2 linked regions of the Caenorhabditis elegans genome follow. The protein of the gene in region 2 purifies or fractionates together with the protein of the main gene of each other region. This does not show direct contact. Each region holds a gene or a part of one and is shown on either strand. Other genes may lie near its edges. The genes, in order: egl-30 and rgs-7.

What was found.
Region 1: the proteins of rgs-7 (region 2) and egl-30 purify together in Caenorhabditis elegans (affinity purification with western blotting, with the first as the bait; one study listed by BioGRID). This does not show direct contact.

The regions. Positions count from the first base shown.
Region 1 is NC_003279.8:1,833,193-1,842,310, reverse strand, and holds egl-30 (Guanine nucleotide-binding protein subunit alpha), read right to left. Parts: upstream 6,651-9,118; 5' UTR 6,532-6,650; coding exon of another isoform or gene 6,439-6,531; 5' UTR 6,376-6,438; coding exon 6,258-6,375; intron 5,661-6,257; exon of another isoform or gene 4,153-5,660; coding exon 4,025-4,152; intron 3,532-4,024; coding exon 3,314-3,531; intron 3,248-3,313; coding exon 3,119-3,247; intron 3,061-3,118; coding exon 2,931-3,060; intron 2,217-2,930; coding exon 2,063-2,216; intron 1,993-2,062; coding exon 1,885-1,992; intron 1,633-1,884; exon of another isoform or gene 1,566-1,632; intron 1,506-1,565; coding exon 1,423-1,505; 3' UTR 346-1,422; downstream 1-345. Other genes in the region: rpl-27 (Large ribosomal subunit protein eL27), read right to left, coding at 6,917-7,033, 7,082-7,219, 7,267-7,422; C53H9.2 (Large subunit GTPase 1 homolog), read right to left, coding at 7,565-8,124, 8,174-8,541, 8,589-8,860, 8,903-9,092.
Region 2 is NC_003284.9:3,540,807-3,546,680, reverse strand, and holds the start of rgs-7 (C2 domain-containing protein), read right to left. Parts: upstream 4,134-5,874; 5' UTR 4,051-4,133; coding exon 4,008-4,050; intron 3,930-4,007; coding exon 3,815-3,929; intron 1,276-3,814; exon of another isoform or gene 1,241-1,275; coding exon of another isoform or gene 1,194-1,240; intron 1,126-1,193; coding exon 858-1,125; intron 191-857; coding exon 65-190; intron 17-64; coding exon 1-16. UniProt on the Caenorhabditis elegans protein: Inhibits signal transduction by increasing the GTPase activity of G protein alpha subunit egl-30 (G-alpha(q)), thereby driving it into its inactive GDP-bound form.

The sequences.
Region 1 (9,118 bases), on a different chromosome or scaffold from region 2:
GATGGTCTGGAAAAGGCAAAAAAATGACAATTTTCGAGCAAAAATTGAGGAAGGGCGATTTTCTACTTAAAAAATGGTTTATTCATTGATTTTTCACCGAAAAAATGAAAAATTCTACAAAAAACTGATTAAAAACAGGAGAAAATGAAAAATTATGAAAAAATAATTTCAAACCCAAGTCAAATTGGCTGAGAGACAACGCGACGGCGAGAGACGCAGAGTGGACGGGTCTCGTCACGATATCGCTTTGTGTCGATTTACGGAGGAATTTCCAGCCCGCAGATTTAAATCAATGATTTTCGCGCGCGCTTTTTTTCCTGAATCATGATTCGAATCATACATAAATAAAATACGGAAAACGAGGTTTTTTTAATAAAGTTTCAACCATTTCTTTTTGTCCACAAAACATTTACATAAAATTAGATCAATGTTAATAGAAATAAATATGAAATTAAAAACTATCGCAAAAAGTCGATACAATAATGGGGAAGAAGAAGGGGGGATGGTGTGTGGATGGGGGATGGTTTTTTTTTCGGTTGAGAAGAAGAAGAAGGAAAAATGACAAAAAAAAATCGATGAAAAATGGAAAAAAATAGGGTGGGGGGGAGGATTTCGAGGTTAGCTTGATGGGAAAAAAATATGAAAAACGGGATTTTTAGGGTAAGGGTGAAGTTTGGGGAGGGGAGTGGAGAAAGCATTCGATAATTTTCGAAAAAAATATGGTGAAAACTCAAAAAAAACGTTATAATATTTGAATTATGTGGATGTGGGTGGGAGAAATTGAAGTTGAGGAGGAAAAAAAAACTATGTCCAACACGAAAAATGTGTTTTTTTTGTGGTTAGAATTGTTAGAAAGGTAAAAAAAATAAAAATTTGAATCAAGACAAAAAAAAACGAAAGAAGCGGCGGTTTGTTGTGGGGATTTTTGTGAGAAAAAAAAAGACAAAAAAAAAAATTTTTTTTGTGAATGACAGAGAGACTAGGTGGTGTTTTTGCATGCCGGAAACTAGGTTGATGGGTAGGGAAGGATGTGAAAACCGACTTTTTGTGATGATAAATGAGTATAGACAGGACAGAAAGAGAGAGAGAGAGAGAGAGAGAGAAGTTTTGTTTCTTTTTGCATTAGCTATATCAGAAAGCACATCCAAAAAAAGAAGAAAAAAGTGCTTATATGGAAAGAATATTCGGGAGGAGCATTTGTTTTAGGGAGGAAAATGAGAAAATAAGAAAATAAGGAAGAGATGGAGAGAGAGACAGACAGAGAGAGAAAGTTTTTTGCAAAAAAAAAACAAAAATTAGAAGGAGTACAAGAAAATGTTTCCTAGGTTTAGGTGGTGGTGTCTCACTCGACCCAGTGAGAGAGAGAGAGAGAGAGAGATGGATCATCATCATCATCATCCAATCCGACATGCGACTTTCTTCTTACACCAAGTTGTACTCCTTCAGATTATGCTGTAGAATTGTGTCTTTGACGGCGGCGAACACGAACCGAATGTTTTCCGTATCTGAAATAGAGGTCCCTTTTATTTGAAAATTTTAGATATTTTTAAACAATTTTTTAGTAATTCGCCATGAGCAACTCTAAGTGTCCATGGGACACCGAATCGGTAACCCGTGGCTACCATAAGTGCTTTTCTCGAACACGGAGTTCTGGCTTCCCTGGAAGAGTTTGGGCCATTTTAGCTCGCCCATATCTGGAGTAGATTTACGGCGCGTTGCGTGTCGCGGCTCAATTCTAGTTGTAAAACTGAATTTATTTATCCGTGTGGAGTACACGACTTTATCCGGCAGACACGATTGTCAATGGAGCGCGAAAATTCAATGAAGAAGGCTAGAACCCCGTGCTCGAATATTTTCCACCTAGCAAACAAAGAAAAGACATACCAGTCGCGCACGTAAAATGAGAGTAGATAATCTTGTCGGCGTCCGGATTCAAGTCGACAAACATTTTGAGAATAAACTCGCGGGCGGCGATCGGATCGCGTGGGGGTCCTGAAAAGAAAACAATTTAGGTGGGTGAAATTTGCCCAAATAAAGTCTCTCAATAAAAGACTCTACAAACCGTCATATTCGGGAAAGTAGTCAGCGAGATGCGAGTACAGAATCTTCTCCTCGAGCAGATCCTTCTTGTTCAGGAATAGAATGACCGATGAGTTGGTGAACCATGGGTACGTGATGATCGTTCGGAACAGAGCTTTCGATTCTTCCATTCGGTTCTGCAAGATTGATTTCTAGTTTGTTTTTTTTTTGCACTATTGTAAGGATTATCACTCTACACTTCACATATTTTAGTTCTAGCTGACAATTTACAGAAAGAACGAGCGAAATCGGTAACGATTTCTACGACGAGAACAATTCGCGTGTTGGGAGAAACTCCTGTTTGAATTGGCGCCTTCGGTACCTGTCGTGTCGAGACCCGCCTGCACATCTTCCCGCGGAATTGGCAACTCTGCGTCTCTCACTCTCTCTCGTCGGGCAGTATATAAGGCGAGTGCGACGCTCATTAATCATCATTTCTTGACCTGTCACCTGTGTTTTGCTCATCCCCAAATCCCCGTTATTCTGTTATCTTACGTTATCATACGTAAACCACTTGGCCCTTAATAAATGCTATAATATTCTACTGGCTCTTCATCACACGCTTATCCCACTGTTACTCTATAGTGCAAATGAGAAATAGCTTAATATCCGCCCCGGCCCCTTGAAAAATGCACATTTTCCGGGCCGAATAGATTGTTTTCGGCCCCTAATTATGGTGCACAGTCGGCGACTAAATTGCATATTTTCGCTTAAAGCCACTATCTCCCTCTCCGTATCTCCGTATCTCTTGGGAGACGAAAAAAGCATCAGAGATTGTTTTCAGCTCATTATATATATATACGAATACCGTATAGTTTTTTCGTAATTAGTACTTTCTCCAGGGAGCTCACCTCGTTGTCACACTCGACCAACACCTGATCATACTCGGAAAGCGCCACCAGGAACATGATTGAGGTGACATTTTCGAAACAGTGGATCCACTTCCGCCTTTCTGATCGCTGACCTCCGACGTCCACCATTCTGGAAAACACAATTTTCCGTTTTTTGAATGTAATTTTTAGTAAATTAAAAAGCTCACCGAAAGATGATCTGCTCCAAATCAAATGGATATTCAATGATACCAGTGGTTGGCACACGAACACGCAGAATGTCCTGCTCGGTTGGCAGATAGTCTGGCACCGCCAGCCGTCGGAGATCGGAGAGATAGCTGGAAGATGTTAAACGAGGTTTAGAAAGAGGTAAAATATTTCAACAAAAAACCACTAAAACTCACTATTTGGCTGAATCGGTGAGCTGATATTCTCGCCTCCTATCATAACATTCCTGAATACCAGAATCCTCCCATAGCTCTTTGATATACGACACGTAGGGTTCCTCGAAAGACGTCACCGACTCGAAATCCACTTCCCGCACCACAGCCGCCTTCTCCTGCAGCTCCTCTGATTCGTTACCAAACTTTATATCTAATGTGTCCATCGCTCGTATCATAGACTGGAAAAAATAGTTCGAATTTTAAGGCTTCGGTCGATTTTTTTAAATGGAAAAACCCCCCTTTTTTCCATCGAAATGAGTATTTTAATCTCAAAAAATCAATTTTATTATGTAACCGCCAAAGATCTCATAGCGAAGTGTACAGAAACTTTTAAAATATTTTTTGAAACTACCATGGTGTCAGAGTGTCTTATTTCGGTTTGATCTACGTTGATCTACAAAAAATGCGGCAGAGTTCTCAACTGATTTAGCATGATTAAGAACGTCCCTGACGTCAAATTCTTTAGGGCGAAAAATTCGAGCACTTTTGTAGATCAAACCGTAATGGGACAGCCCTGGCACTACGTATTAGTTTCCGGTGGTAATTTACAACTTTTCTGTAGACTTCGCTACGAGATATTTGTTGCGTCAAACATCTACTGGCGGTTTCGTAATAAAATATGAGTTAAAATTCAAAATTTTAAAAACAGGTTTTCAGATTCCTAATTCCTACCTGTATGGCCATAAACACGTTCTGATAGACAAGTCGAATGTGTGCTCGCTTGTCCTCTTCCGAATATCCCTGACCGTGGATAATTCGCATCTGCTTGATGAACGTTGACTTGCCGGACTCTCCAGTCCCTGAAAATTGAATTTTTTTTTTGGAAAATGGGTTGTTGGATATATATATATTGTTCAATTACTGTACCTGAGAGCCTGGTTTTTAATTTTTCTCGCTTACCTGGATCTTTCATCATTTTTATTTTTAGGATTTTTTTGTTGGAACATAATTTTTAATGGGATTTAACGTGGTTTTAATAGTTTTGGGAATGCTAACTTCGAAAATACGGTGGGTTCGCCTTTAAAAATTACTGTAGTTACTAACTTTTTGCTGAGTTTGAATTGATTTTTCTTCCAAAATGTGATGTTACACGTGGTGATACTATTTCATTAAAGCTTGATCTACAAAAAATGCGGGAATTTTTCGCCCAAAAATATGTGACGTCAACACGGTCGTAACCATACGAAATCAGTTGAGAACTCTGCGTCTCTTTTCCCGCGTTTTTTGTAGATCTAGGTAGATCAAACCGAAATGAAACTCTCTGACACCACGTGATGTTAGTTAAAAAATTAACCACCTTTTCAATAAATTTAAGAAAACTGGTGAAAACTTATGAAACATCAAAAAACTACGGTACTCTTTAAAGGCGCACGATATTTTGACAGAGAACGCTGAATGTTAAAAAATCTACATTTGATTACTGTTTTCCTTATTTATGAATTAAACTTTCCTTTTAATTTTTAATTTTTTTTCATGTTGAGAAACTAACATCAAACAGATCATGCAAATTCAATTTTTTCCAAAAATTTTTTTTCCAAATCCGTTCCAGTTCCTTTTCACAGTCCCGATTCCAGCCCATGTCTGCCCTTTTTCTTGCCAATCTGCTCCTCCTTTAAAGCCCTCACACAAATTTGGGGCGGGTTGGAAATCAATTTGCACTGCTGCATACAACACACACATACACACAGACAACTCATGTCCATTAGTCATTTGTATGTGAATTCATCTAGTTGCTCTGTGGCCGAGAGAGAGAGAGAGAGGAGCCCACGCCTGCGTCTCCTAGTCCATCGGTCCCTATGGCTGGGTGGAGGACTGGCCAAGCTTCTGCTGCTGCTCTTCACCCCCATCCTTCTTTCTCTGGGCTCTTCCTAGCCCTCCCCGTGGTTGGCTGGGCTGGTTGGTTGGTTGGTTGGTTGGCTGCGCTGATTAGGTTGTGGCTTTCCCCACTCTCTCCCTCTCTCTCTTCCCTCTTTTCCATCGCGCGCGCACACAGCAGCCCCTCTCTCTGGTTCTCTGCGTCTCGCGCTCTCTCGCTCAGAGACACTCAAACTCACGCGGAGCACACTCTCTGCTTTTCCAATACTCCTATGTGTGTGTGTGTCGTCCCCGTCGTATTCTTCATCTCTCACTCCCCCCATTCTTTCTTTTTGCCGCTGCTGCTGCTGCTGCTGCCACCGATCAATACGCGCAGCACAGACGCGACAGGGAAGGGGGAGGGGGGGGCGCTGTGAGGGCAATCCACCAGCGCGTCTCGCTCTCTCTTACCATGCAAATGCTATATACGTACACACACTCACACACACATATATAGATATATGTGTAAGGGAAGGGAAGGGAAAGAAGAAGAAGAAGAAGAAGAAGGGGGTTTCGGGGGCCGGCGGGGGATATATGCCCCCGACAACGACGACGCGCCCCACATTTTCGACATATTAGGGGGGTTGGAGGCCCCCCCCCCAAATAGGAACGAAAAACGGAACGACACGCAGAGAAATAGACTGTTTCATACGCGCACTCCTACACACACACACACACACACTTGGAACTGTTTATTGATTTGGTTTTACAGGTTTTTTCAGAGACTGGAACTGGAACTGTCATTTTAAAGGAAAACCGTTCGGAATTGCGATTGATAACGAGGTGTTGAAGGGGGAAAACTGGAGGACTGATAAGGAAATTATGGTGATAAGGAGAATGATGAATGGGCGACAAGGGGCAGGTGCAATTCGAGAGGGTGTAAATGGAAAAAGTAAACAATAGATAAATAAAGTTTCGGAATAACGTGGAAGGCTGTGGGGGTTTTTTTTTCTTCAAATTTTAGCTTGGCTCCCAGGATTTCAGGATTCCAGGATTCTACAGGTTAAATGAATATTACACCGACTTCTTGTTGAAGGGAACCGGTTCTTACCCAATAAAAGAAGTTTGAGTTCTCGTCGAGCATTTCTTTTGTCACGCTGAAGCTGCTTCTCAATTTCTTGATTTATTCGCTTCTGCTCGCGAGCCTCTTCGGATAAACAGCAGGCCATGGCGGCCGAAAAGGTGCCACCAAGGCCGCAGATGAAGCCAGCGAATAGAACAAGAAGAACACGCTAGAGCGAGGATAGAAGTTCGATGCAATTTTTGTATTTCGGTGGGACGATTGAGGGCGTCAAGTTATAAACATCACAAAAAAACAACAACACAACAACGCACAGGGATGCCTCTCTGTTGGTGGAAATGTGGTGGTGGCGGGTGTGTGTGTATATAAAGCTGATCGCTTGACCGAAAAGGACCGCTAGCTGACGCACGCACCTAACACGCAACGCGCCGGCCTCCCCTCGACCGTAGCACTGGTCGCTGCGAGACCAAGATACGCGTGTCGCCGTGCCGCACTCCACTCTCGCCACGCTCTCTCGTTTCGCCTTGACGCACGGGCTCTACTCGTCTCGTCTCTCGCCGCCGGCTTGCAAACACTAAGATTTTGTGCCCCGATTCACGTATTGAATATAATTCTGCGTTCTAATGAAACCGATCTCACTGGAATATGTAACAACATTTTATTCAGAACAAAACAAGAAAAAATGCGGTTTAGAATCGCAATTTGGTGAAGAACCACTTGTTCTTTCCGGTCTTGTAACGCTCCTCGAACTTGGACTTGACTTCGACGAGGGCCTTTCTCTTCTTGGACGGAGCCTTGAGTGCCTCCTGAAAATTAAAAAATAATAGGTGAAATATATTAGAAATCCAACAAACCTTGTTGATGTTGGTCTTATCGAAGGCGACATCGACGGAGTAACGAGTTGGGAGCAAGTGAGTGTAGGAGACGACCTTGAGGAATGGCTTCAGCTTATTTCTCTTCTCGATCTTCTTCTTTCCCATGTCCTTGGTAACCTGAAAGAAAAATAATTAAATCCCGAACAAGCAACAGATGATTGTACCTTCAATGGGTATCTGTCGATTCCAGCAATGATGGCGTGTGGGTAGGTTCTGTCCGAAACTCCCTCGTCTTGTTGCTTGACGACGACGGCCTTGCGACCAGCATACTTTCCTCTGAGGACGAGGACGACCTTTCCAGGCTTCATAATCTTGCCCATATTTACCTGAAAAAAGTATTAGTGAAAAAGAAAATAGAAGAAATTAAAAGGATAAGAGACGAGCAAAAGAATTGAGATATAGCCTGGGTGGAAACCAGTAGAACAGTAAAAACATTTGAAAGTAATAACAAGAAGAGTGACTTTATTCATTATAAATCCTCCTCAATTTGTCCTTCTTTCCCTTGTAATGCTTCTTTCCATTGTTTTCGGTAGGAGCAGTTGGAATGACGGTTCCTAACGTTTGAGGCAATGCTTTTGAATCTCTGACATGAGCAACTCCGATTGATCCGACAAAGTGTTGAGAGTCAAATTGTGATCCCTTCAACTCATCACCCTCGAGAAGCTGAAGCTTGGCAAGCTTTTCCATCTGCACCCGACCAATATCACGAGTCTTCTTGTCTGGATAGGAGATTCGGTCAAACTCTTCTTGCTCAACTCCGGGAGGTGCGGCTGCCCAAATCAATTTTCCACTGACAACATCCTTGAACATCAGCCTCGCGGCTCTGGAACAATCCGGAATTCCCGACGACGCCATAAATCCTCTCATGAACGCGAGCGAGTTAAGCAAGTTGATTGCAGAAGGACTTTGCATCTCTGGCAGCATAATCGAGTATGTCGCCTCGATGACATGAACTGGAACACGGGAGAGTAGAAGCGACGTTGGGCCGAAGTGGTCACGCATTTGATCAACGGGAAGAATACCTGCAATCGAATCGAATTTGGAAAATATTATTTTAAAACTACGAGTTACCGTTTAAAAACATTTCGCTTCGTCCAAAAGAGAAAGAAGGCATGACAAGTCCGGGACAATCACAAAGGCATAGTTGGCTGTCGATGTGAATGGTTTGGAAATGTCTCGTCTTTCCGGGTGTTGCTGATACTGAAACCTTCTTTCCACCAGCCAGCTTGTTGATCGTAGAACTTTTTCCAACGTTAGGATAGCCAACCATTCCAACCATGACTGGCTTTGCTGACGGCTCATCTGATACGTGACCAAGTTCCTTGAACTTCGCAATCAGCTCATCCTTGTTCGTTACGAACATATGTGTGGAAGTTGATGGATTTGATGTTTCTACTGCGTCTTCATCGATTGGATCTAAGACTTCATCGATAGCCGACCTGGAAAAAATATATTTAGAAAATATTGATTTTATCGCGTCACTCACCAGAAAATTACTTTGATATTTTCCTTTTCGAAGTATTCCCTCCAGCTGGCCTGTTGTTCCGGTTTCAGAAGATCTGCCTTATTGACGAGAAGAAGAATCTGCTTGGCGGGATCAACTTCCTTGACGTAGTCATCCAAATCTTTACTGCGGAACAGCAATGGATTTCGAGCGTCCACGATTTGAACAATGATGTCGCTCTTCTCGACAACTCTCCAGAGCTCTCTCCACATGTCAGGATTTCGCTCGAAAGGAGTCAGTACCAGTCCGTCCACCTGAAGAATAAAATATTAATCGTCTTTCAAACTTCCGCGTGCCTCTTGCAGCTCGCTCAGGTCGGACCTCCATTGAAGGAATGCTTCGTTTTCCAGCTTAGTCAAATCCTCCATGTTCTCCCAGAGCTCCTTTGCTGGACGTCTTGGAATCCGAAGACGGTGCTCGTTCTCCTTTTGAAGGTCAAGATTGGCACGGTAGTCCAGCCTTGTTGGGACGACAATAGCGGAGTTCCTACAAATAAATGATATGTAAAATTC
Region 2 (5,874 bases):
TCATCGGGCTGAGTGGCTGAAAATTATTTGGTTTTTCAAAATTTATAGAGTTCCAAATACCAACCTGAAACGATGTAGTTGTTGAAGTGAGCTGAGGCTTCCACTCAGTTTGAGCACGCAGAGACGATAGTCTGTGTGCTTCGCTGCTGCTGGAGTAAGTCGATGAACGAATTGGAGACATTTCCTGCAACTAGAGATAACCATCAAGACGCACTTCATTAATTTAATTTTCCCCTCTCTCGTTTTTTCGGAAAGTCGAGATCTACCAATCGTTGTTCTTACTATTATTACGTACAGTATTTTCCCATATTTGATATGCGAAAATTAGAATATTGACAGTTGTCGATAAGATATTCAATTGTGCATTGTGCATTTTATCAATGTTATTATTTTCATGATAAACGGAAGGAAAGACACGAGATCACTACATGAATAATAAAGATTCCTAATTTTTTAATAGAGAAGTGCCAGTGGGAAAGTTGTTAAAAACCACTTTTATAGTACAAAATGACCAAATTTCATATTAAAACCACTGACAGTCAAAAAGTGTCAATCACTGATTTTTTTGCCATTTTTTGAGAAAACTATAGCGGTTTAACATGTTCGAATCTAATTTTTGAATATTTATGTTGAAAACATAAATTGATCGTAAAATCTGAATGGAAAAATTATTTTTGATCGACGAAAAGAGTAACTAAAACTGAGAATTTACCAACGTTTGTAACAAAATACAGGACTTTCATAAAAATTTTGAAAAGTTTTACTATGATATTTGGTCATTTTTTAATACTATAGAATGCGCTACTACACCTTTGAAATACTTCGCTGATATTTTAAAATGACTACGAAACCATTACCTCAATAGCTGAAAGATCGCTGGATCCGTATCCCATCCTTGGTCTTCTTGGTGGAACAAATCTGTCACGTGATCGAAATGATGAGTCGTCTCCCCGCCGAATTTGCGAGTACATCTCCTTGTGTCGTTCATTTGCCAATTGTGGAGTTGACCCGAACGTTTGGTAAACTTTTTTGTTGTTCCCAAGAACGTTGGGCTCATGTTGTTGATTCATTAGAATTTGACGTCGAACGGCTTGTGCAGCGATTCCGCAGACTGGAGCACGTCTTCTGCAAGAAATATAAATTGATAGAGAAATTTGTGTAGTAGGTTTAAAAAATTTGAATTGTAAACTCACATCAGAGCTTCGAGACCTTTGGTTTTGGTTCTTACAGTATACGTCATAATAAACAGGATTAGTTACTGAAGGAAAAACGGTTGTAAGATTGATAGAAATACAAACGAGAACTGTTCCCAAAGGCAAAACTCTGGGATGGCTCTAAAGGGGCGGAGTTAGGAGCATGACAGAGACGAGAGGAGAGAGTATCAATGCACATTCTCAGCACATTGCAAATGACACGTGTTCGCTAAGTACAGAAAAGATGAGCTAATTAGGGAGTGAAAACAATTTTGTTTGGACAGTATCCTGCTGACAACCGTCAATTTCAGTAGGGGGATTATAGCTGGAAGGTAGAGCGTGTGACGAGATGGGGTGAAAAGACAGGAAAGTGCAATTGGACACTAATGGGTGGATAATGTTTAATAGGCTATTTTCCAATTAAGGTTTGTGAGTGTGTGTGGTTTCAAAAATAAACTTTGAGAGAATTTGAGACGACTTTTTGCGTAACTGAGATAGTTGCTCTCTTCACTCGGCATATTATAATAGATTTGATTTGAGAAGAAATAGCATGAAATACATTTTCCAGTGCAAAATCTTCAATAGGGAATTTTGAAAATTACTTATATAGTATGAAAAATATCAAACACCAAGGTAAATTTAAAAAAAAATTATGTGGCAATTACAAATTTGTCAACTTCTCCTAGCAAATACAAATGTTCTCTGAGCGTTTTTGTGAAATATTTGTATTATATTCCAATAGTTTAAGGTTTCGCACATGCAGAATTGCTCAAAAGGCCTTAATATTTCAAAAAAGTTGGCCAACTGCAAAACGTTTCCCTAAAAAATTTGATATTTTTATGAACGTTTTAGAGTATTTATGATGTTTGGTTATAAAACTATTCACAACATTTTAAAGTTACATATATATGCCGGATTATCAAAATTCTGAATTATTGTTACGTAGTTTTTCACTTTAAGCACTACAAAACACTGTTTTGCTTATCAACCTGGAAGTCTCTAGGCAGCGTCGAGTCTAGGCGTCATCTGGTGATGATGATGTACAAATTATTATAACACACATCAATGCAGAGCATCAAATGTGATACGCAACAAGTTTTTGCGCAAGTTTTAGTGCCCCTGACGTTCCAGCAGCCACGGGGGTAGAGGGCTATTCGTGGCGTTGCGCAACTGAAAATCAAACCACGGTAACTCGACATCCAACGTAATTTGCAATTATGCGAACATACTCAAAACTATACATATTACTGGGGAAATGTCGGATGGGCAAAGTAAAAATTTTGTAAGAGAAATTTTAGAAACATTTAATTATTAGTATAAAAATTCAAAACTCATAGTATCAGAAAATGACAGAGATATCGGTGACCAATTAGAATGTTAAGAACAGAAACTAAAACAGAAACCTCTAAATCATAAAACGTCTACAGAAAATACAGGATATTTTGGTTTTCTTCGATTGGTCACATTAACGGAACGGTTGTCGTAAATCTTGTGGAAATTATAGAGGGACTCGTTTAATAATCACCTATGCTATTGTAGCCTTTAACAATCGATCGATTGCCGGAAATCCAAAACTTGTGCGTTCATGACATTGTATACACGCCAAACAAGAAAAACTTTGAGAGAAGTTCAATTGATTCACTTGAAAAGGCGCGGATATTTTTAAGCAAACATTTGACGACGAAAATGGGCATTTAAGTGGATGAATCAGGTCAGTGATACCGACTCAAATACTACTACGCGTTTCTGTCATTTCAAATGTGAAAATAAATGTTCTTATTGGGCGCAAAAATTTAATTTTTTTTTGCATATTTGAAGAAAAGTGTCTAAGGGTACTTTCTACATTCTTCACAAAATCAATGTTGTTAATTTTTGCTTCTTTTGATCATTCGAACCAGATTTGATATAATTGAGAATGTTCGGATTGTCAAATCACTATTGTCCTTTCTTTCTTCCTTTCTAACTCTAGTATTTTACGGTCAGCGTAACAGAGCAGCCGACTGGGATGGGGCAATGCGTTCGTTCGTACACCAGAGGCTAACCAGTATGTAGTGTGCATGGTCAACACATACATGCCTCGTTTGTTTGAACCGAGGTGTACAATAGAGCGCATTTAATTGAACTGTCTCCCATTAGGAAAAAATCAGCAATTGGACTAATCAAACTTGTACTAATGCAACTTTTAAAATTGATGAATTAAATAAAAATTTCAGAGGATGAAAATTTGAAAAGAATCTTCTATGGTCTATTAGTTTTGGTAGTTTTCGATTTCGAGGAATTTTAGATTTAAAAGGGAAATTAAAAAATTACTCAAAAAATACACTTTCTGAGAACGACCAAATATGAACTGGGATCCGGGCAAAGCAACAGTATACTGAACTATGAAGCAAAAACCTATCAAGCGAAAAATAAATAAAATAGTTCTGAAAAGTGACAGAAACCAATTGTGCGGAAATTTGTGAAACGTATTCGAAATTCGTTTGAGAAAATTTTTAGGATAGCAAACTTGTCACGTTTTTTGAAACTTTTCTCTCGTGATTTTAAAATACGTTTTATAATTTTCAGCACATTTTTTCAAAAGTATCTAATATCAACTTTTGAAAACATTTAAAAGAACTCACCTTCCCCACAGCATCTCGTCAGTTGTAGCTTCCGAAGGTCCAGTGGATTCAGTCGTGTCCTGATAGCTTTCCGACTCGGAGCCTGAGAAGTCGTCGTCGTCCGACACTGACGATACTGGAAAAAATCAGATATATAGTCATAATAACAATAGCAAACATCTGGAGCATTCAGGTTTGCAACAAAGCAACTTACTCGATGATTGATCGTCATACTCGTCTGCATCCTCGTCTGACATCTTGTCAATGCTGTACTGCTGGACTCCGGCCGTTTTATATTTGTGTAGATTGAGCTTGATTCTTCGATTTTGACTTTCCATCTGAGTGAAACTATACTAATTGGAACAGCAATAGAAGGAGAATTGAGAGAGAAAAATGATTCATAAACGGCAACGAAGGAGAAAACGTTGTGTCATTTTAGGCTAGGGTTATACGGCTCAGCATAGAAACTAATCCATCTTATGTTATTGATTGACTGAAACACTATTTTATGTATGAGGAAATTTTACTTGTTCCGAAAAAGAATAAAAACAAACAATTTATTCTAAAACACTAAGAACTATAATACTTCAATTTTGTAGATTTCAAATGAAGTTAGCTATAAAAAACTTAATAGAAAAGTACCGTCTTTAAAAAAAGTTGAGTTAAATTTATCAAAATGTATGGCCTTTAACAGAAAAAAGAATTAATTACGAGAAAGTGCAAAATATGGATAACCAAATTAATTTTAAATAAATTTACCAGCCGTTGGAAAAGAGAAAACTTCGAAAAGCCCCAAGATTTTAGTCAGGAAATCATAGCTTTTTTTGAAATTCAGAACAATAAATTGTTTTCTAGTTTTAAAAAATATTATAAAATCGAATGTACTCTTTTAATGAAACAAAAAATATCCGGAACAAAAAACCATTTCCGAAAGAAATCCATGTAGTAAGGCAGAACTAAATAGCAAATGACCCGCAAGTTTATGAGATCAAATACAAGTGAAGGTGAAGGAAAGGAAGTTACAAGGAGTAGTTGACAAAATTTATGGTGCGAACAACCGCTACTCCGTTTGTCGGTGTCGATAGGTGGTTGCGTAATATTTAGGTTACAAATCGAAACCATAAAATCTTTACTGACAACATCTAGAGTTTACATTCTTAGAGACAGAAAAAATAGAAAAAAAAAGACTGAACTTATAACATTCGACTCACTGCCAGATGGTTTCAATGAAAAATATGGCCGAAAGTTTTAGATTTTTTGGTGATTTAGTGGTTGGGAAAAACGCAGAACTTTGCAGACGGAATATAAGTAATTTTGTATGATAATCTAATTGTCTAGGCTTACTGATAAGGAACCATTATGTTTTTTACTTGTAGATAATATGTGATTAATACTGTGCCAGATAACGTTCTACAGAACTACTTGTTTAGCGCATTCCCTAACCTAGACACCCAGTGAAACGTGACTAATAAGTTTTCAACTCTCGATTACTAGTTTTTCTGGCCTTGATCAGATGACGGAAATCCAATTATGGAAAATCAATAGTCCGTAAATAAACACACCTTAATGATAAGTAAATTTTACTAGTGACTCACTTGCAGATGAGGTCAATTTTATAACGAACAAAATTACATACGAAAAAACTAGTTTGAAACCTTGAAAAGCTAAGAAATTAGATAAAATAGCTTTTCAAATTTGAATGATGAGCGTTCCCGCCGGTGAACAATTCAAACGTGAGTAGAGAGAAGAGACACAGAACGGCGAGTGTTCGTCTGTGTCTTCCTTCTTTCCTGGCTGTCTCCTCTGACCGGCAATTGAGGAGAGGGGACCCATTTAGCGTTTGTATGTGTGTATGTGCGTCTTTCCCCCCTCAACACCTGCCATCGTGACCCACGATCGCGGACGCGATATTTATGGCCTTGGCAAATAGCTTGGAGACTTTCCTTTACTGTTGATTCAACTTTATTGATACTTCTTCAATTGTCTGACACCATCAGTCAAATTTAAGACAAATGAAAGACTGTTCAGGCAACTAAGCTACGATGAGCATTATTGAAAAAAAAAACAAATTGAAAATCAAG